Linked DNA regions of Schizosaccharomyces pombe. Changing the gene in region 1 together with any one later gene gives a genetic interaction. Each region holds a gene or a part of one and is shown in the gene's direction. Other genes may lie near its edges.

The links.
Region 2: mutations in pmd1 (region 1) and cor1 impair growth when combined (synthetic growth defect), as found in Schizosaccharomyces pombe (one study listed by BioGRID).
Region 3: mutations in pmd1 (region 1) and bfr1 impair growth when combined (synthetic growth defect), as found in Schizosaccharomyces pombe (one study listed by BioGRID).

Annotation. Positions count from the first base shown.
Region 1 is NC_003421.2:1,632,954-1,641,588, forward strand, and holds pmd1 (leptomycin transmembrane transporter Pmd1), read left to right. Parts: upstream 1-2,139; 5' UTR 2,140-2,346; exon of another isoform or gene 2,347-2,573; intron 2,574-2,758; exon of another isoform or gene 2,759-2,858; 5' UTR 2,859-3,020; coding exon 3,021-7,109; 3' UTR 7,110-7,618; downstream 7,619-8,635. Other genes in the region: wtf element Wtf15, read left to right, coding at 1-10, 216-473, 521-757, 797-853, 913-989; rpl39 (60S ribosomal protein L39), read left to right, coding at 8,068-8,223.
Region 2 is NC_003424.3:4,264,645-4,268,837, forward strand, and holds cor1 (cornichon family protein), read left to right. Parts: upstream 1-2,410; 5' UTR 2,411-2,468; coding exon 2,469-2,589; intron 2,590-2,676; coding exon 2,677-2,960; 3' UTR 2,961-3,435; downstream 3,436-4,193. Other genes in the region: protein aim29, read right to left, coding at 1,078-1,455.
Region 3 is NC_003421.2:709,398-718,028, reverse strand, and holds the start of bfr1 (plasma membrane brefeldin A efflux transporter Bfr1), read left to right. Parts: upstream 1-2,610; 5' UTR 2,611-4,021; coding exon 4,022-8,614; 3' UTR 8,615-8,631. UniProt on the Schizosaccharomyces pombe protein: Confers hyper-resistance to brefeldin A (BFA), an inhibitor of intracellular protein transport. Could serve as an efflux pump of various antibiotics.

The DNA of each region.
Region 1 (8,635 bases):
TCAAATTCAGGTACGTTATGTTGTTAATATGAAAGAAAACATTATAGTAAAAACTGTATCTTGATGTTATTTAAAAATAACATGTTTGTGATTATTTGGTTACATTCGACTTACTCAAATTTTCGATTCTAAGCGCGGTGAGCTTTTTTTTTCTTTCAAATATAATATAAATTCCTGTTAATGTTTGAAGTTTCAGCATTTACTAATGCATTCAGATATTCTGACGTCCGCTAATCCTGTGTCTCAAGCTTCAGAAACTCCAGATCACAGCATCGAAAGTAATACAGGATCTACGCAATCGCCCACAAGCCATAGTCTACTTCTGAAGTTCTCTTTTTGTATTGTTTATTATTCTTATTTTGCAATTGTTGTGCTTGGTTGCGTGCTTCCTTTTGAGCACACACACACTTTCCTTATAGCTTTTTTGGTTATATTCGGTATAATCTCTGTGATATTGTTTAGCGGCTCAATTTGTAAGCAAATTGTGAGGATGTTATCAGTTCATTCACTAACTCTTCAGACTACTATGAAACTTGGACCAAGACTGTGAAGCACTTTTTGAAAAAAGTGATAAGCCCTTTCAAGAAGGAATACATTGTGTGTGCATTTTTAAAAACTTTTGTTTTCTATGGGCTTTTGAAAACGATTGAACATTTTTTAGTTCTTCTTTCTGGTGATAAATGGGGATGGAAATGCTCAACATTATCTAGCATTCTCACTCCTGTATCATGCATCTCTTTTTGCTTAAATGAATCAGGTTCGTTATTGTAATAATTTAGTTATATTAATAATACAGTACAACTCAGATCATGCAGCACTCATTTGTTCATAAATACCGTGGCATGGATTAAATGTATGTTCTATAAATAATGAGATATTTCTTGCAAAGAATTTTCTATTAACGATATTAAGCTCTTGGTGGCGGAAAAAATGCGTTTGAAAATAACTACAATCAATTGAATGAAACAAGTCCCGAAGACCTAGTTTAGTTTCATTATTGCTTGGTACTGTCAATAGTCGCGAAGCGCTTTTCTCAAAATCTCTTTTCACGAAATATTCAACGCAATGGAGTAACTTTGCAATCATAATGCTTTAATTTGGAAGTTTAAGTATGGTCGATCATTTGCCAACTTTTTGTACTGTATATTTTTATCTCGTTCTTTTGTTATCATTTAATTTGTTGACCAGTGTGTTACTTAAAAGCATTCTACAATGCTACTTGACATGTTTATATGGGATTTTGCATATCCATTATTGCAAGAATGCGTTGATGATGGTTACTATTCATGTCAACCCACGTTGATAAATTGCGATTCTTAGATTGACTATCAAATCAACTAGTGGAATTAGGAAACCTACTGCTCAGTCTGGTTGTATTCATAATTTCGTTTATATTTCTTTCATGATTATTTCTCAAAATTTAAACTCTTTTTTAATGAAACCAAATTCGTCAATGTCTACTTCTTTGTTAATTTGTTTTAGACCAATCTATGTTATTGTTTACTAAATAGCGAGCGACAAAAAAGCTCCTAGGTAATGTTATCTGATGCTAAGATAGTTAAGCTAAACCAGCATAATAGTAAAATACTCAATTGAAGTATAGCCCACTAATTGAACTGATGAATGTAGGCTCAACTGTGTTCTACTAAGTTTAGTATATGTTTATTTAAATTTTTTTCTCAGTTTGATCATTTCAGTTGATGAATATGAATTCTAGTTGGATAACCTCATTAATGGGAATTATATAATAATCAGTGATAGACAATTTTGCGTAATATAGAGATATAACGATATAAAAGTTTACAATGTTTTTACGCACTCATTACAGTTTTTACATTCGTTATACAATTGTTAAAATATAAACATAGAGATCACAATTTTAAGCACCGTAGTTTCAAGTAATTTGCTATCTTGGTTAAAAAATGCGCAACTGCACATTAGCGAATTCTATCTGTTTCTACGTCTGAATCCGCCTTTAATTGTGGCTTATGCCTCCACATGCTAAAACGCACTATTTGGCAATACGTGAAAGACAAATACTTCATTCTTAGTCATCTCATAAAAACTAACTCCTCGGAACCGAGGAGGGTAAACAAGCGCCGAGTGTGCATTTATATTGATTAGACAGGGATTTTTAGTTGTACTTTTCAAATCACTATACTCTTTTGCTTTTTCTTGAATTTTGTTTAGTCGCAGAAGACTGCGCTTGCTTATTAGAGTATTTAGCATTAAGAGGTATTAACTTAACTTCAATTCCCTATCAGGACGTGGAAGAAACGTTTTTACGCCTTTTGACAATTGTCAAAATTTGGGAAAACCCTACTGTGTTAATTGTATTGTAATTTGGTAAGTGTTGTGTGTGTGGATGGATTGAACAAGGAACGATGATGCGAATTGGCAAAATGGTAACATGGCAATATTATTATTGTCTCAGCTCTAATAGTCTGTCTTTACAAGTTGGATGAGAAGGAGAACGATTGAGATGCTGCTTGGCTTTTATGATTATAATGATTATTGTGATAGTTCATGGATGGGTAGGAATATTTTTTTCTTTGTTATTTTTAAGACACATATGCATCTGCAAGCATTCGAGTGAAATAATTTGTTGGCTGATTTTATCCTCACAAGGTTCAACGCTAAATTTTGTTGTACTGGATGCTATAGGCGTTGAAAGTTTCTTGCTTCAATGCTTTTTTTCACTGACCAGATTTTTCCAATTATTAAATAAAAATTTTAACTGGTACAATAATTACGACGATATTCGTTTTATCAATTCCATTCACGTTCTTCTCCCTTTTAGCCTTTTTTATCCATAATTGATGACTTGTTATTTGAACGACTTCTAACCCTTTTCTTAGTGTTACGATTTTAGTTTCCAATTATTTGGTTTAAATTATTTTTTTCATCTTCTACATCTCCGTTTGTTTAAACCTACCTATTTTTCTTAATTTCCATTTTCTACTCTCGATCCTCAAACTGGTTTTCTTAATTTGTTTTAATTTTATAGAATTTGCATAATCATGTCTTTGCATAGTAAAAAATCCACTTCTACGGTTAAGGATAACGAACATTCTTTGGACCTTTCTATCAAAAGCATACCTTCAAATGAAAAAAACTTTTCAACAGAGAAAAGCGAGAATGAGGCTTCTGAAAGCCACGTGGTAGATGTTGTCAAAGATCCTTTTGAACAGTATACTCCTGAAGAACAAGAAATCCTTTACAAACAAATTAATGACACACCTGCCAAACTTTCTGGATACCCTAGAATCCTTTCATACGCCGATAAATGGGATATTATGCTGCAATTGGCAGGCACCATTACTGGTATTGGTGCCGGCCTGGGTATGCCATTGATGTCCCTTGTATCCGGTCAGCTGGCTCAAGCTTTTACCGACCTTGCCTCTGGCAAAGGAGCGTCATCTTTCCAACACACTGTAGATCACTTTTGTCTTTATTTTATTTACATCGCAATTGGTGTCTTTGGCTGTTCATATATTTACACTGTAACCTTTATTATTGCAGGAGAGCGGATTGCCCGTCGTATTCGACAAGATTATTTGCATGCCATTCTTTCCCAAAATATCGGTTATTTCGATCGTCTAGGTGCCGGTGAAATTACCACTCGAATTACTACTGATACAAACTTTATTCAAGATGGTTTAGGTGAGAAGGTCGGATTGGTGTTCTTTGCAATAGCAACCTTTGTATCTGGTTTTGTTATCGCTTTTATTCGTCATTGGAAGTTCACATTGATATTGAGTTCAATGTTTCCAGCCATTTGTGGTGGTATCGGCTTGGGTGTTCCCTTTATTACCAAAAACACCAAAGGTCAAATCGCCGTCGTTGCCGAATCCAGTACATTTGTGGAAGAAGTGTTTTCCAATATCAGAAATGCTTTTGCTTTTGGTACCCAAGATATTCTTGCAAAATTGTACAATAAGTACTTAATAACTGCACAACGCTTCGGTATCAATAAGGCAATTGCAATGGGTTTAATGGTTGGATGGATGTTCTTTGTTGCGTATGGTGTTTACGGTCTTGCATTTTGGGAAGGTGGACGCCTCCTACATGCAGGTGATTTAGATGTTAGCAAATTAATTGGCTGCTTTTTCGCCGTCCTTATTGCTTCCTATAGTTTGGCCAACATTTCTCCTAAGATGCAGTCATTTGTTAGTTGTGCCTCAGCCGCTAAAAAGATTTTCGACACAATTGATCGTGTTAGTCCAATTAATGCTTTTACACCTACTGGTGATGTAGTCAAAGATATTAAAGGGGAGATCGAATTGAAAAATATTCGATTTGTTTATCCTACTCGTCCTGAAGTTTTAGTGCTGGATAACTTTTCTTTGGTATGCCCTTCTGGTAAAATTACTGCTTTAGTAGGTGCCAGTGGTAGCGGCAAATCCACGATCATTGGACTTGTTGAGCGATTTTACGACCCCATTGGTGGGCAGGTTTTCTTAGATGGTAAAGACCTTAGAACGCTGAACGTTGCTTCGCTGAGAAATCAAATATCTTTGGTACAACAAGAACCGGTTCTGTTTGCTACAACTGTGTTTGAAAATATAACTTATGGCCTGCCTGATACAATTAAAGGTACCTTGTCTAAGGAAGAATTGGAAAGAAGAGTTTATGATGCCGCTAAGCTTGCCAACGCTTACGACTTTATTATGACATTACCCGAGCAATTTTCAACTAATGTTGGACAACGCGGTTTCCTTATGTCAGGAGGACAAAAACAAAGAATTGCAATCGCTAGGGCCGTTATTAGTGATCCCAAGATCTTATTGTTGGACGAAGCCACAAGTGCTTTAGACTCTAAGAGTGAAGTGCTTGTTCAGAAAGCTCTAGATAATGCATCGAGATCTCGTACCACTATCGTTATTGCTCATCGTCTTTCTACAATTCGTAACGCTGATAATATTGTCGTAGTGAATGCAGGAAAAATTGTTGAACAGGGCTCCCACAATGAATTGTTAGATCTGAATGGTGCTTATGCTAGACTAGTAGAAGCTCAAAAGCTATCAGGTGGAGAAAAAGACCAGGAAATGGTCGAGGAAGAACTGGAGGATGCTCCGAGGGAAATACCCATAACGTCTTTTGGTGACGATGATGAAGATAATGATATGGCTAGCCTCGAGGCCCCTATGATGTCCCATAATACGGATACTGATACGTTGAATAATAAACTCAACGAGAAAGATAATGTCGTGTTTGAAGACAAAACCCTTCAGCATGTAGCTTCCGAAATTGTTCCAAACCTACCTCCTGCAGATGTCGGTGAACTTAATGAGGAGCCTAAAAAGTCCAAAAAGTCAAAGAAAAACAACCATGAGATTAATTCGTTAACAGCGTTATGGTTCATTCATTCTTTTGTACGGACAATGATAGAGATTATTTGTCTATTAATTGGTATTTTGGCTTCTATGATTTGTGGTGCAGCTTACCCTGTTCAGGCAGCTGTTTTTGCAAGATTTCTCAATATCTTCACTGATCTCTCATCCACAGACTTTTTACACAAAGTAAACGTGTTTGCTGTTTATTGGCTTATTCTAGCTATTGTTCAATTCTTCGCTTATGCAATTTCCAATTTTGCAATGACTTATGCAATGGAAGCAGTTTTGCAAAGAATTCGTTATCATCTATTTCGAACATTGCTTCGTCAAGATGTTGAGTTTTTCGACCGTAGTGAGAACACAGTTGGTGCTATTACTACTTCTTTATCAACGAAAATTCAGTCTTTGGAGGGATTGAGCGGCCCGACTTTAGGAACCTTTTTCCAAATTTTGACCAATATCATTTCAGTTACGATTTTATCTTTGGCTACAGGATGGAAGTTGGGTTTGGTGACCCTTTCGACCTCCCCTGTTATCATTACTGCTGGTTATTACCGTGTACGTGCTCTTGATCAAGTCCAAGAGAAGTTGTCTGCTGCCTACAAAGAGTCAGCTGCGTTCGCATGCGAGTCAACTTCAGCCATTCGTACAGTCGCTAGTCTTAATCGCGAAGAAAACGTTTTTGCTGAGTATTGTGATTCTCTCATCAAACCTGGCCGTGAGTCGGCAATCGCATCATTGAAATCTGGTTTATTCTTTTCTGCTGCTCAAGGTGTTACCTTTTTGATTAACGCATTGACATTTTGGTATGGTTCTACCTTAATGCGCAAGGGCGAATATAACATCGTTCAGTTTTATACTTGTTTTATTGCAATTGTCTTTGGTATACAACAAGCTGGTCAATTCTTTGGTTACTCAGCAGATGTAACAAAAGCAAAGGCTGCTGCCGGTGAAATTAAGTATTTGTCCGAATCAAAACCTAAAATTGATACATGGTCGACGGAAGGAAAGAAAGTTGAATCCCTTCAAAGTGCAGCAATTGAATTCAGGCAAGTTGAATTTAGTTACCCTACCAGAAGGCATATTAAAGTTCTTCGTGGTTTGAACCTCACTGTGAAGCCCGGGCAGTTTGTCGCATTCGTAGGATCTTCTGGCTGTGGTAAATCTACGACCATTGGGCTTATCGAGCGTTTCTACGATTGCGACAATGGAGCTGTATTGGTGGACGGTGTTAATGTTCGTGACTATAACATTAACGACTACCGCAAACAAATTGCCCTTGTCTCTCAAGAGCCAACGTTGTACCAAGGTACTGTTCGTGAGAACATTGTTTTGGGCGCATCTAAAGATGTCTCTGAAGAAGAGATGATTGAAGCTTGCAAGAAGGCCAATATTCATGAGTTTATTCTTGGATTGCCCAACGGTTATAACACACTTTGCGGTCAAAAGGGCTCTTCCTTATCTGGTGGTCAAAAACAGCGTATTGCCATTGCTAGAGCATTAATTAGAAATCCAAAGATTCTCCTTTTAGATGAAGCAACCAGTGCTTTAGACAGTCATAGCGAAAAGGTCGTTCAAGAAGCTTTAAATGCCGCCTCTCAAGGTAGAACCACGGTAGCAATTGCTCATCGTTTGTCTTCTATCCAAGATGCAGACTGTATTTTCGTATTTGATGGTGGTGTTATCGCTGAAGCTGGTACTCATGCCGAGCTTGTTAAACAGCGCGGTCGTTACTATGAACTTGTGGTTGAACAGGGATTGAACAAAGCATAATTTATTTGAAAAGGGTGATACCCGACAAGAGCCCTTTTTTTGTCTTTCTGATCAGTAAAAGGGTTTCCATTGTTTAGATTAACTCCCTCATATATCGTTAAGTTATTTCCGAATTTCCTTTATTTAGGTCATGTATACTATTATGCGATGAAGCATGACCAATGCTATTAAATTACTTAATATTTCCTTATTTTGAAAATGGATGTTTGTCGTTTGTCTTCTAGATATGTCTTCATCCATAGTCAGGTTTGTGTTTTATTCCAAAAACTTGTCAATTTCAAGGATTGAATAACAAGGTTACTTTTTAGGCATTATGGCCTTACTAGCAATGTAAGGAATTTTAATGTCTGTGCTATTTAATGTTGTTTGGTCAACTGATTAATTTAATTTGCTAACGTGCAAATAATTGTCTATTTTATCGTAATCGGTACGATGGCATTTTACTCTTACCATTAACTTTGATTCATAATGAATAATGGATTCGTTTTTTGTTTTTTTATTGACCCTCATAAGTACGGATTTCGTAGTTTTTCAAATTGTAAATAGTAGTAACAAAATAGAAGTTTTTTGACTTGGGAACTTCTTTGTACCTCAATGCTTAAAATATGAGCTTCTAGCCCAAATGTAAAATTAATAGCAAGTTTACTTTGATATGATTGAACCAAATATTACTTACTAACACTACTTTCTTGAATGCGTCTGCCTTTTTCTAACAACAAGCTTTTGGACTAACTGAAATATATTTAATTATTTCTTCAGTATCTCAATTCTAGTTTAAATAACGCTCTGACGGCATATTTCACAAAACAGTTTTAACGGTTACTAGCAATATGTACCATAGTATGTTGAAATTATTCCTTAAATCCTACAAAAACCTTCAAAAGACAGTCACAGTTGTGAAAAAAGAGCAGTCACATTCGCTTTAGTTGCGTGGATGCAACACTCTGTCTTCCACAAAATGCCTTCTCACAAGAGTTTCCGTACCAAGCAAAAGCTTGCCAAGGCTGCGCGTCAAAACCGCCCCATTCCTCAATGGATTCGTCTTCGCACCGGAAACACTGTTCATTATAACATGAAGAGAAGACACTGGAGACGTACCAAGTTGAACATCTAAAATGGTATGTCGACAAAATCAACCGACGCCTTTGCTTGTGGAGTAACTGTTTTCTAACTGAGATAGCGTTCGTGTACATGAAGTTATGGATTGCTTTATGCGTATCCTACGTTTTACGTGTGCAAAAATAGAAAATGGATCCATTCTGTTTGAGCGAAAAATTTCTATATAAACGCAATGTATCTGTTGTCTTCAATAACTATGTAAACAGTTCCATGCAAGTCGTAAGGATTGTCGTGTAATATAGTAGAGTTGAATGATCTGTAAATAAAACGATTTTAAGTGTACTTTAATTTTCTAGTAGTTGGTGGCGGCGCGGCCTGACCTGGTAGGAAAAACTTTTGACTTGTAATTGTCGGGATAGATGAGTTTTTGTTTTTATTTAAAGAGCTTGAAAAATTTATACTCATTT
Region 2 (4,193 bases), on another chromosome or scaffold:
CACAAAATGGATTTCAAGTTAGAAGCGAAATGTTGAAAATCAATTTCGGTTCAATATTTTACTATATCTTATTATTAATTAAAAAAAATCTTTTAATCACACACTTTAACTCATACCTGACAACTTTCAATGTGGGATATAAAAAACTGAATGCATTGTAATTGTTTATTGATTATAACATTAGAAGTATAATTGGACTACTTAATCACAAAATCCCTAAGGTCTCATAAACTAACTATCCTTTCAAATGCAAAGTCATTGAATTGAAGGATGAACACTAGCTACTTATGGAAATTAAGCTGAATAGACAAGCTTGTAGTTTTAGGAGTTTACTTTGATAATAAAAAAAATATATTCTAACACCAAAAACAATATTTTCTTAACATAAAGCAATGCTTTTGTGAAATCAACCATTTGAGCATTGGAAACTTCCTATCAAAAATTACATAGAAATTTTTGATTTTGGCTATATAAATTACATTTCATGATAAATGTACAGCTAAAGTCACTATGTCCGAGTGGTTAAGGAGTTAGACTTGAATCCTGTATTCTAGTCATCTAATGGGCTTTGCCCGCGCAGGTTCAAATCCTGCTGGTGACGGTATTTGTGCGCGGTAGGAGAGTGGAACTCCGACGGGCTCATAACCCGTAGGTCCCAGGATCGAAACCTGGCCGCGCAACTCTTTTTTTGCTTGTTTTTAAAATAACTTTTTATTAAGTATTGGTGTAGCGTTTTGATGAATGAGAAATGTTTTGTTCTTATATAAATATGTAGATAGGGACGTCCTTGGTGCTATTGGTACCAAGTCATAAAGTCGATGTTTACAACATTTGGTTTAAAATGCGTATTGTTTTGTATCATTTATTATTCTACATACTTTTGCTCACTACAATGCATTCTGCTATTGTCAATACATGAATTGCAACAGCGACCTAGGTAATTTTAAATAGTTGCACTAATAAAGACATCAGGAATTTTTTAGCGTAGTTTGAAAAATATTCAATTTAAATAACAAAGGTAAACTCATCTCCTATTCCTAACACCAACAATTGAACTCTTAATAAAGTTATGCATGTCTAAAGCCATTTTTGTACAGGATTTGCTTGATAGGCCTTGTAGGCAGCAAGTTCAAAGTAGGACAACTCAGTTTCATTTTCAATTCCACAAAGAGACAATGTTTTGGCTCCATCATTAAGAATCCAATCATCGTGGTCTAAATTAATAGCCAAGTTTTGGGTTTTGTGCTGCTGGGCTTTCACATAAATCTTCAACGTGTCAAAATGGGTAGTACGGTAGATTTTCAATGAGGGATCCGTTTGTATGCGTTCATCGATGATTTTTTTGAACTGGTCTACAGTCGTAGTGGCCAGATCTATGTCGTGGAAAACGACGTTTTTCAGTGTCCGATATTCAAAGTTGCGAATTACTCGAACAGTTAACGTTGCGCCCGTCATCCTTTTGAAAGATTTAAATAAAACCAAAGAGTAAAAAAGTACCAAATGATCAATAGTTAAATGACTGTAATTCGATTCTTATATAAGGGTTCGAAATCCTTGCGAAATTCCCAAAAACTTTCAAAATTATTTGTATTCCAAAAAAATGTCACAATAGCTTTTTGTTTCTCCAGAGCCTCACCTTTATGCTTATATTTTTCGTATATACAATTGCAATTTGATTAACACTCGAGTCAATGGTAACTTGTGTAGTATAGAGAAAGAACGAAGCATTATAAATGATTGAGATGTGCACTAAGTGGTACACTAGCAATATAACAAATTGAATTGTGTATCCTAACAGCTAAAAACCTTCATACTATTCTTCTAGAAAATTTTAATTTAAGAATGAATGTTCATTGTAGAAGCCAATTGAATGTTGGCTGAATTATTGCAAAACAAAAATAGTTTAATATTTGACGACTGTTTACGAAAAAAACGCATAAGAATTGTTTCTACAACTAAGAGGAACAAGTTGATGATGATATTTAAGGATCGAATTATCGTAAAATTATTTAATTCTATACAGTGTGAATAATTGTAAATGTTTTCAACCCAGACTATATATTTTATTAACTAAAGCGGTTTTAAAGCTAAAGAATATAACACAATGATTACTTCTACTTGAAGTGTTTACGTTTCATAGTCCATGCATGCGTCTCTTTGATTTATATTAGCATAGAACTCTTGAATTCACTTTTTTTTACGATCATTCAATCGAAGCCCATTCTTTAAAATAAAAAATAAAAAATATACTAACGTACTAATTGATTAGTAAACATAAAAACCAAACTTCCAGATTTTTCGAGTTCCCTTACCATTTGGTAAAGATTCATGTCAACAGTGCGATTCGAACTTGTGGTCGTTACGATTCGTTCGCTCATTTTACCATCAATGAGTTGTGACAAGTTATCTTATTACACCCATCGAAAAGAAAAGTTTGAAAACTCAAAATAAGTGTCTAAACATCCAAAATGGTGTCTGCTTGGATTTATTTTACCAGCCTTATGCTTACATGTGCAAATATCATGCTTCAGATGTACTTTACAGTGATGTACTCTGATTTGAAAGACGATTTCATAAATCCCATTGATTGTATGTTAAAATAATCACATTCTAACGATATATATTAATGATAAATGTCTCTGATTCGTATATATACTAATCTTTTTCCCTATTTAGTGTCTCGAAAACTGAACTGGTATGTACTACCAGAAATGGGTTTTCAAGCTTTCAGTGCCCTTCTTCTATTATTGTCAGGTGCTTGGATCACCTTCCTTCTCAATGTACCCATGTTGGCTTGGAACGCCAAAATGATTATGTCCAACACTCATATGCACGACTCTACAACCATCTTCAAAGACGTATCCTCTAGACAAAAACGATCCTTTTTCAAGCTGGCATGTTTTGCTGTATTTTTCTTCGTATACCTCTTCCTCTTCGTCAGTAGACTTGTGGACGAGTAATTGTATCGTTAAGTTTGTGTGATTTATTTTCCCTCCTCTTTTAGTGATCAGTTTCAAAGTCAATAGTTTTAAAGCAATTTTTGCGTTGCTACTCAAAAGTTTTGTTTTCTTTTCCTAAATGTTTTTCGTCTTGGTCAAAACTATTTAAAGCCATCCAGATGCAAAAAGTTTCGCTTTTAGCTAGTGCATTTGTCTTGGCAATGTATATTGTGTAGCTACTTCAATACTTGTTTTTATCTCTTGTTAATTGTTCGTCAATCCCATTTCTTTCTACTCGTGGGATCTCGTTTAACGGGGTTTATGTTTTCACTCCTAGAGAGTCTTTCGCCTTCAATTTCCTATGCAACTCCTACTTGCAGCATCTGACCTGTTGCTATGAATAAAATCTTTAATTGCTGCCGAGCTAGGGAATAGTGAGTTTAATGTGCAAATAAAACCACACGAGGTCATATTTGTACTTATAGTGTTTGCCTATGATATGTTGTAATGTAAGTTGGATGTGATACCGTCGTTTTCTGCAATAGTGTAGTTTTATTTTGTTCTCCACGTGTTCACCTTTGAGAGGCTGTAGCTCTGACTTTTGTCATTGCTTTTCTTTAGCATCATTTAGAGGTTTGTAAAATAAAGGATTTCATTCATAGCACTTTTTTATTTTTTTTAATTGACTACGTGTTGCTTAGCTTATTATATTTCGTTTAATTCATTGAGTTATAATGTTGGTTGTTTGCACTATCAGAATGTGAGTGAATGTTATTTCTGAAGAAAGGTAGAGGGATAAGCAATGAACTTAATACAAAAATCTCTGTTGGTCATGTTTTTCACACCATGGCAACTCGAATTTTGAAAGGCTATTTGTGCAATAGTAAATGCTTCTTCGCAACTATATAAAAGCTGAGAGAATTTTTATTATTTACAAAGAAATAAGATCATATTTTTTTATAATATGCGTGCACGCGATGAAAAGCTTTAAAGGGTTTGCAATGAAAAGTTGAAACTTTTGTTTATGCGAATTAACTTATTTATTTTCTATATAATTTATTAATACATATATGTATTCGCTGTAATGGCTTGGTCGAAGTGTTTAGTACTCCCAATAGTGCATGTTCGGTGGTCTCGGGTTCGAGTCTCGCTTTCGATCCCTCGATCTGCCACGTCTGTTCGAAGAGTAGTCTTCGTGGCAACTGGCAGTTAAACCGTGTAGTACCGATGGAGGTTGGAAACAATGCACATCAC
Region 3 (8,631 bases), 920 kb from region 1:
TCCTGACAAGCAACAAGTTATTTCCAAGCCTGAAAAAGCGTCTATCAATCCTGGATTCATGGTATTGGATGGTTCTTACTCAAGGTCGATTGGATTGAAGTATCGCTCCGATGAGGAATGCTTTGTTGACACTGCTAAAAAGTTGTGGGAACGTGCTGAGGAGTTTCAAAAAAGTTAGAAAAAAAAATAAGAAAATGATTTCATGTGGCTCAGAGAGTCAATTGCTGAGGGTCGTCGAATTGGTAAACGTGATTATTACGAGGTATGAGTTAAACACAAATGTCAATAGAAAAATGAACGAGTAGAAGTTGGTTGGAAGAGAATTTAAATAAAAAAAAAAAAAAAAAAAAATTGGATGAGAAGAAATTTTAGTTACTAGCACATACACATGAATTCAAAATACGAGAAAGACACTAAATGGAATAAACGCTGGCGAGTTTATAGAATGTATCAAAATGTTTAGTAGCACACTATTTAGCGCAACAACAAAAAGATCGACACTTTTGTAATTGTGAAATACTGCAATGTGTCGCTGCATCGCTATGCCCGCATTCACGCTAGACGAGATAGTGGAAGTGGAAAATAGCGTTCACGAGCGAAGTGTATGCTACGAGGTGAATGGGTGTTTTTTTATTCCAAATTACGCTAGTTATCGCATTTTGTTTAATAAAATATTAATAAAATACAAAGCAGTGCGAAATGACACGTTAAAATGCTTAAGTGGATGAAAAAAGAATTTAATTTGCCTTAAGTATTTACATATTTACCTATAGAGAGAGGTAAAGAGATGAGCCATATTGCATTCACGTATTTCGTGCCATAGTATTTGTAGCCGATTTGGTAGGATTGCTTCATCAACATGTTGGACCATGTTATTAACACATGATAGGCAAGTTTACGATGGTCTTCGCACTATGATGTCCAACTTTTCGCAGCATCGAAACGGACAATTTTTTAGTACTTTGAGAGCGATGCGATCGAGCTGCTCTCAAAGTGTCAAATTTGCCCAGTAATTTCGACATGCGCTCAGTAATAGAAACTTCTCGTACTGGGCACACTAGCTAGAAACATGGCGCCCACACACAGTCGGACAAACGATGAAGACGCAGTACAAAGTAGGCAAAACAAAAACGGGAGACAGTGGGAATGTAATCGGTCAAGAGAATATTTCGCTCTCTACAATTTCTAGCTACTCAATCTTCTACTTACTAACAACTGATCCAATGTGCAGCAGTATTTATGCTAGAAAGGAGAAAAAGTCAAAACCAACTTTAAAGTCAGTTTGGCTATTTACCTTTTCAAGTCTTTATGGGAATAAAACAGTAGCGCAGCGTAATATTACATAGCGCACTCGATCGTTACAATGCAATTCATCTTGCAAAGTGCAGAGAGAGTGCATGAACATATTCTATACTGGACATCCATTCCAATTTAATCAGATAAATTAAAAAAAAAACAATTGCTCACAAATTCTTCAGTAATCATCTCTATTCGTAATCCTTATCCTTTATCCTTGCAAATTTGAGTATATCTACTCTCCTTCGTAATCTTCCCGATCGCACTCCTTTATTCCTCATTATTCCATTCAACACATTCTCTTTTCCTCGTTATTCTTTGCGCTTACTCATTTCTTACTAATCAGATCTGCAAGAGCTGCATTTGATGCCAAATGTGCGACACTTCTCAAACGCGAGGTGCTCGGACATCGGGCATCGGAATTTAGAAATTAGCCTCTTGCGTATCGCTGTATCGTGATAACAGCAAATGCTGTAGTTGACCGCGCAGCGGTAATTTCGGAACTTGGACGATCCCGACTATGTTTGAGTGCTTCGCTGCTAGGAAACGCTACTAAAGAGGTTTACGAAAACGCTATTTGTCGTTAAATTTACATTACTGAGAGAGTGAGAGAGCAAGTGTCTATAGCTAAAAGTAGCGCAGGAGAGGAAACGTTGAACGCGTAGTTAAATGGAAAAAAGGTAGGATTTGTCAGGTTTTAAACCAATATTCAAATTCATCAAGTCATTTGAATAAAAAATAGACCAAGAAGTAGGAAGTTTGAATGAAAATAGAGAAACTTTTCACTCACTTTTGTATTTCCCTTTGACATGTAAACAAAAGAAAGATAAAGATGAGCGCTCGTACCAGATGGACGATTCGGGTCTTTGTTGGTTTGCAAAACAATCTCTGAAATTATGAACAAACAAAAGAACTTTGTAAAATAATAAAAACTATGCTAAAGTCGGGGGAAATTTCGAGAAAATTTGGGCTTTTTCTGAGGTTAAACACTTTATAAAAGGGATTTTGGACTCTTTTCTCAATCTTTTTGATTCAAGAGAATCTCGCTTTTAATTCATTGAAATTTTTTTTGTTCTTTCTCTCATATTACACTCATTTTTATCGGTTTTTCATCTCATTTCGTCTCTAAACCCTCTCTTTCTTGTTGCGTCTCTTATTATCGAGTTGTCTTAGTCATACTATTATACAAGGCAAATTTATCGCTTGCTTGCTCCTCGGTGTTTAGTCGATCGCTTTTCTATGACATCACTCCGGAGAGTCAAAGCGCCGAACGAAATTGTTTACTAAAGCGAGTCAGCGGCCACCATTTTTTTCACATCATCTTCCTAGCGTTTGGCAGTTCATATTAAAGAACGAAGAAATTGCTCCCTACTTTCTCGATAACCAACTTGCTTTCTGGTTTATCCTTTGAAGCGCAACGAAACGTCGTTTTTATTGAGTTCGTAGAGACCGTTATCTCGATTTAGTTCCTTTTTGTTTGGTTTTCAAGCTTTTGTTGGAGTTCAGGAAGCTTTAGCTTTCTTACCTTTTCTCCCGTTTCCCTTGCATTTCCATTTCCCTCTTCCTACCTGTCTTCTAGATACATTTCTTTCCTCTTGCGGAAACTTATTGGATTCTCTTTCTTCTTTTGAAACGTGGCCTGCAAAAAGCCATTGTTTTTCAGGAAATTTTGCTTTTCTTATCTTTGAAACTAGTTCCTCTTCTAAAAAATTGGCGTTGCTTCTTTCTTCTTCCTATTTGCCCCTTCTCTTCCCTTCTTGTCATAAGCATACCTGTGGTGCTAGGTTTTCATCCCTGCTCCTATTATAAAACTTTCATTTACTCGTATTATTGACCAGTCGTCTTTCACTTTTTCAGTAGGAGTCTGAATCAACACGAATTGGCGATTCGTATTACGAGCAATCTCACAGGCAGACAAGAACGAAATTTTTTTTCCCCTATTGCGTTTGGGAAAATTCACTCTAATAAAAAAGAAGCCTTCTTTCTATATATTATAAAATATATATAGATAGATAAATATTTTTTATACATACAACCGTATACATATCTATTTATCTATATTTGTTATAGTATCTATTTGAACTTTCCAAAGGAGATCCTTCATTTTTTTATCTTCTTCCTTTAGTAATCTTACTGCTTTTTAAGCCAAGCTTAAAAAGTACTGTTCGATTCCCCATTCGTTCCTCTCCTAATTTTAAATTATTTTCTTCACCCACTTGTTAAACAATAAAACTTTTCTCTTCAGTGTACAGTGAGCTCGGTTGCTTACTTCATCATCACTCACTAATTTTGTTTGAAAGTCTTTCTGGTTGCGATTCGCTTTCGCTTTTTTTTTAAACTTGTTGTTGGTCGTTTTCCCTAGCGTTTTCGTTCAATTCACGTACTTTCGTTTGCGTTTTTCTTATTATTTTCACAACTTGAAGTTTACTGTCTTGTGAAATAGCGTTCTAATTCTTCTTACGTTTTGGTAATTTTGTCGTTTATTTTATTAAACTTTTCATTTCTCGTTTTTTTTAAATCGTTGGACGTCGATCTGCTTTTTTTTTTCAGCTCGATTTATAGAGTTCAACTTGTTTCAATTGTATCGTGGTGTTTTCAAAATTTTTTCTTTTGAATCGTTCAATTACTAATATAAAACATCATTTCCGGTTTTTTCTACTTTCTTTTTTCCTATCCTGTTCTATTTTGATTTGTTTCCCTTTTATATTCCTTTTTACATTACGAAATGAATCAAAATTCGGATACTACTCACGGTCAGGCCTTAGGCAGTACTTTAAATCATACCACCGAGGTTACGCGTATTTCTAATTCCTCTGATCATTTCGAGGATTCTTCTTCGAATGTTGACGAGTCTTTAGATTCTTCTAATCCTTCATCCAATGAGAAGGCATCACACACTAATGAGGAATACCGTTCAAAAGGTAATCAAAGTTACGTCCCATCTTCATCAAACGAACCCTCCCCAGAATCCTCATCGAATTCGGATTCTTCCTCATCTGATGATTCATCGGTCGACCGTTTGGCCGGTGATCCCTTTGAACTAGGGGAAAACTTCAACTTGAAGCATTATTTAAGAGCATACAAAGATTCTTTACAACGAGACGATATCATCACTCGTAGTAGTGGTGTCTGCATGCGCGACCATAGTGTTTATGGCGTTGGTTCTGGATATGAATTTTTGAAAACATTTCCTGATATTTTTTTACAACCTTATCGAGCTATCACTGAAAAACAAGTGGTGGAAAAAGCCATTTTAAGTCATTGTCATGCTCTTGCCAATGCTGGTGAACTGGTGATGGTTTTGGGACAACCAGGTTCTGGATGTTCCACTTTCTTGCGTTCAGTTACTAGCGATACTGTTCACTACAAGCGTGTCGAGGGAACCACTCATTATGACGGTATTGACAAGGCCGACATGAAAAAGTTTTTCCCCGGTGATCTTTTATACAGTGGTGAAAACGATGTCCATTTCCCATCTTTGACTACCGCTGAAACCCTTGATTTTGCGGCTAAATGCCGTACCCCAAACAACCGTCCTTGCAACCTCACCCGTCAAGAATATGTGAGTCGTGAGAGGCATTTAATTGCTACCGCATTTGGCTTGACACACACTTTCAATACCAAGGTAGGTAATGATTTCGTACGTGGTGTCTCTGGTGGTGAACGTAAGCGTGTAACTATTAGTGAAGGTTTTGCTACTCGTCCAACTATCGCTTGCTGGGATAATAGTACTCGTGGTTTGGACTCTAGTACGGCTTTCGAGTTCGTCAATGTCCTTCGCACTTGTGCCAATGAACTTAAAATGACATCCTTCGTTACTGCATACCAAGCTTCGGAAAAGATTTACAAACTTTTCGATCGAATTTGTGTACTTTATGCCGGTAGGCAAATTTATTATGGACCAGCTGACAAAGCCAAGCAATACTTCTTAGATATGGGGTTTGACTGTCATCCTCGTGAAACAACTCCTGACTTCCTCACTGCTATTTCTGACCCGAAGGCTAGGTTTCCTAGAAAGGGTTTCGAAAATCGCGTTCCCAGAACCCCTGATGAGTTTGAACAAATGTGGCGCAATAGTTCTGTATATGCTGACCTTATGGCCGAAATGGAAAGCTATGACAAACGGTGGACCGAGACTACTCCTGCTTCTTCTGAAGCCCCCGAAAAAGACAACTTTGGAAGCGATATCTCTGCCACTACCAAGCATGAGCTCTATCGTCAAAGTGCGGTAGCGGAAAAGAGTAAACGTGTTAAGGATACCTCTCCGTATACTGTGACTTTTAGTCAACAGTTGTGGTATTGTTTAGCTAGGTCATGGGAGAGATATATCAATGATCCTGCATATATTGGTTCAATGGCTTTTGCTTTCCTTTTCCAATCTCTTATTATCGGTTCTATTTTCTACGATATGAAATTAAACACCGTTGATGTATTCTCACGTGGTGGTGTTCTTTTCTTCTCTATTCTGTTTTGCGCACTTCAGAGTCTTTCTGAAATCGCTAATATGTTTTCCCAACGACCCATCATTGCTAAGCATAGAGCTTCTGCTTTGTACCATCCTGCTGCAGATGTTATTAGTAGCTTGATTGTCGATCTACCTTTCAGATTCATTAATATTTCGGTTTTCTCAATTGTGTTGTATTTTTTAACAAATTTAAAGAGGACTGCTGGCGGATTTTGGACTTACTTTTTGTTCCTTTTCATAGGTGCTACTTGTATGTCTGCCTTTTTTCGATCATTAGCTGGAATTATGCCCAATGTTGAATCTGCATCTGCTTTGGGTGGTATCGGTGTGCTTGCAATTGCCATTTACACTGGTTATGCTATTCCTAATATCGACGTTGGATGGTGGTTCCGCTGGATTGCTTATCTCGACCCGTTGCAATTTGGTTTTGAGTCTTTAATGATTAATGAATTCAAGGCACGACAGTTCGAATGCTCTCAATTGATTCCGTACGGTAGTGGATATGACAATTATCCTGTAGCTAACAAAATCTGTCCCGTCACCTCTGCAGAACCTGGAACAGATTACGTTGACGGCTCAACTTACTTGTATATTAGTTTCAACTACAAGACGCGTCAATTATGGAGAAATTTGGCTATTATTATTGGATATTATGCGTTCTTGGTATTTGTCAACATCGTCGCCAGTGAAACTCTTAATTTCAACGATTTGAAAGGTGAATATCTGGTCTTTCGCCGCGGCCATGCTCCTGACGCTGTAAAAGCAGCTGTCAATGAAGGTGGAAAACCGCTGGATTTAGAAACTGGTCAAGATACTCAAGGTGGTGACGTTGTTAAAGAGTCTCCGGACAACGAAGAAGAGCTTAACAAGGAATATGAAGGAATTGAAAAAGGCCATGACATTTTCAGCTGGAGAAATCTTAACTACGACATTCAAATAAAAGGTGAGCATCGCCGGTTACTTAATGGTGTGCAAGGCTTTGTTGTTCCAGGTAAATTGACGGCTTTGATGGGTGAATCCGGTGCTGGTAAAACCACTTTACTAAATGTACTTGCTCAACGTGTTGACACTGGTGTAGTAACTGGCGACATGTTGGTTAATGGTAGAGGATTGGATTCAACTTTCCAACGGCGCACTGGTTATGTACAACAGCAGGATGTCCACATTGGTGAATCTACGGTTAGAGAAGCGTTGCGTTTCAGTGCTGCTCTACGTCAACCTGCTTCCGTTCCTCTTTCGGAAAAGTACGAATATGTCGAATCAGTCATTAAACTTTTGGAAATGGAGAGCTATGCTGAAGCAATTATCGGTACTCCTGGCTCCGGATTGAACGTAGAACAACGTAAGCGTGCAACCATTGGTGTCGAGTTGGCTGCGAAGCCTGCTTTATTGTTGTTTTTAGACGAGCCAACTTCTGGTCTAGATAGTCAGTCTGCATGGTCCATTGTTTGTTTCTTGCGAAAATTAGCTGATGCTGGTCAAGCAATTCTTTGTACAATCCATCAACCCAGTGCCGTACTGTTTGATCAATTTGATAGATTGTTACTGCTACAGAAAGGTGGTAAAACAGTGTACTTTGGTGATATAGGAGAACATTCTAAGACTTTGTTAAATTACTTTGAATCTCATGGAGCAGTACATTGTCCTGACGACGGTAATCCAGCTGAATACATTTTAGATGTTATTGGTGCTGGTGCCACTGCCACTACTAATCGTGATTGGCATGAAGTTTGGAATAACTCAGAAGAACGTAAAGCCATTAGTGCAGAGCTAGACAAAATTAACGCTTCATTCTCAAACAGTGAGGATAAAAAGACTTTGTCAAAGGAAGATAGGAGCACTTACGCCATGCCTCTGTGGTTCCAAGTCAAAATGGTCATGACCAGAAATTTCCAGTCTTATTGGAGAGAGCCCTCTATATTGATGTCTAAATTAGCACTGGATATTTTCGCTGGTTTATTTATTGGATTTACATTTTATAATCAAGGTCTCGGTGTACAGAATATTCAGAACAAGCTTTTCGCTGTGTTTATGGCAACCGTTCTTGCAGTTCCTTTGATTAATGGTCTTCAACCAAAATTTATTGAGTTGCGTAACGTCTTTGAAGTTAGAGAAAAGCCTTCGAATATTTACAGTTGGGTTGCATTCGTATTTTCAGCCATTATAGTAGAAATTCCATTTAACCTGGTGTTTGGCACGCTTTTCTTCCTTTGTTGGTTTTATCCAATCAAGTTTTATAAGCATATTCATCATCCTGGTGACAAAACTGGTTACGCTTGGTTGCTTTATATGTTCTTCCAAATGTACTTCTCAACTTTTGGCCAAGCTGTCGCCAGTGCGTGCCCTAATGCTCAAACAGCGTCCGTTGTCAACAGTTTGTTATTCACATTCGTGATTACATTTAACGGTGTTCTGCAGCCTAATAGTAATTTGGTCGGATTTTGGCATTGGATGCATTCGTTGACTCCGTTTACCTATTTGATCGAAGGATTACTTTCTGATTTGGTGCATGGACTTCCAGTTGAATGCAAGTCTCATGAGATGCTTACTATCAACCCTCCTAGCGGTCAAACATGCGGTGAATATATGAGTGCTTTCTTAACTAATAACACAGCTGCTGGAAACCTCTTAAATCCTAATGCTACAACCTCATGCAGTTACTGTCCATATCAAACCGCTGACCAGTTTTTGGAGCGGTTTAGTATGCGTTATACTCATCGCTGGAGAAATTTGGGTATCTTTGTTGGTTATGTGTTCTTCAATATCTTTGCGGTGCTTTTGTTGTTTTACGTATTCCGAGTCATGAAGCTTAGAAGTACTTGGCTTGGTAAAAAGATTACCGGAACTGGTTAAATGTATTAATATGGGGT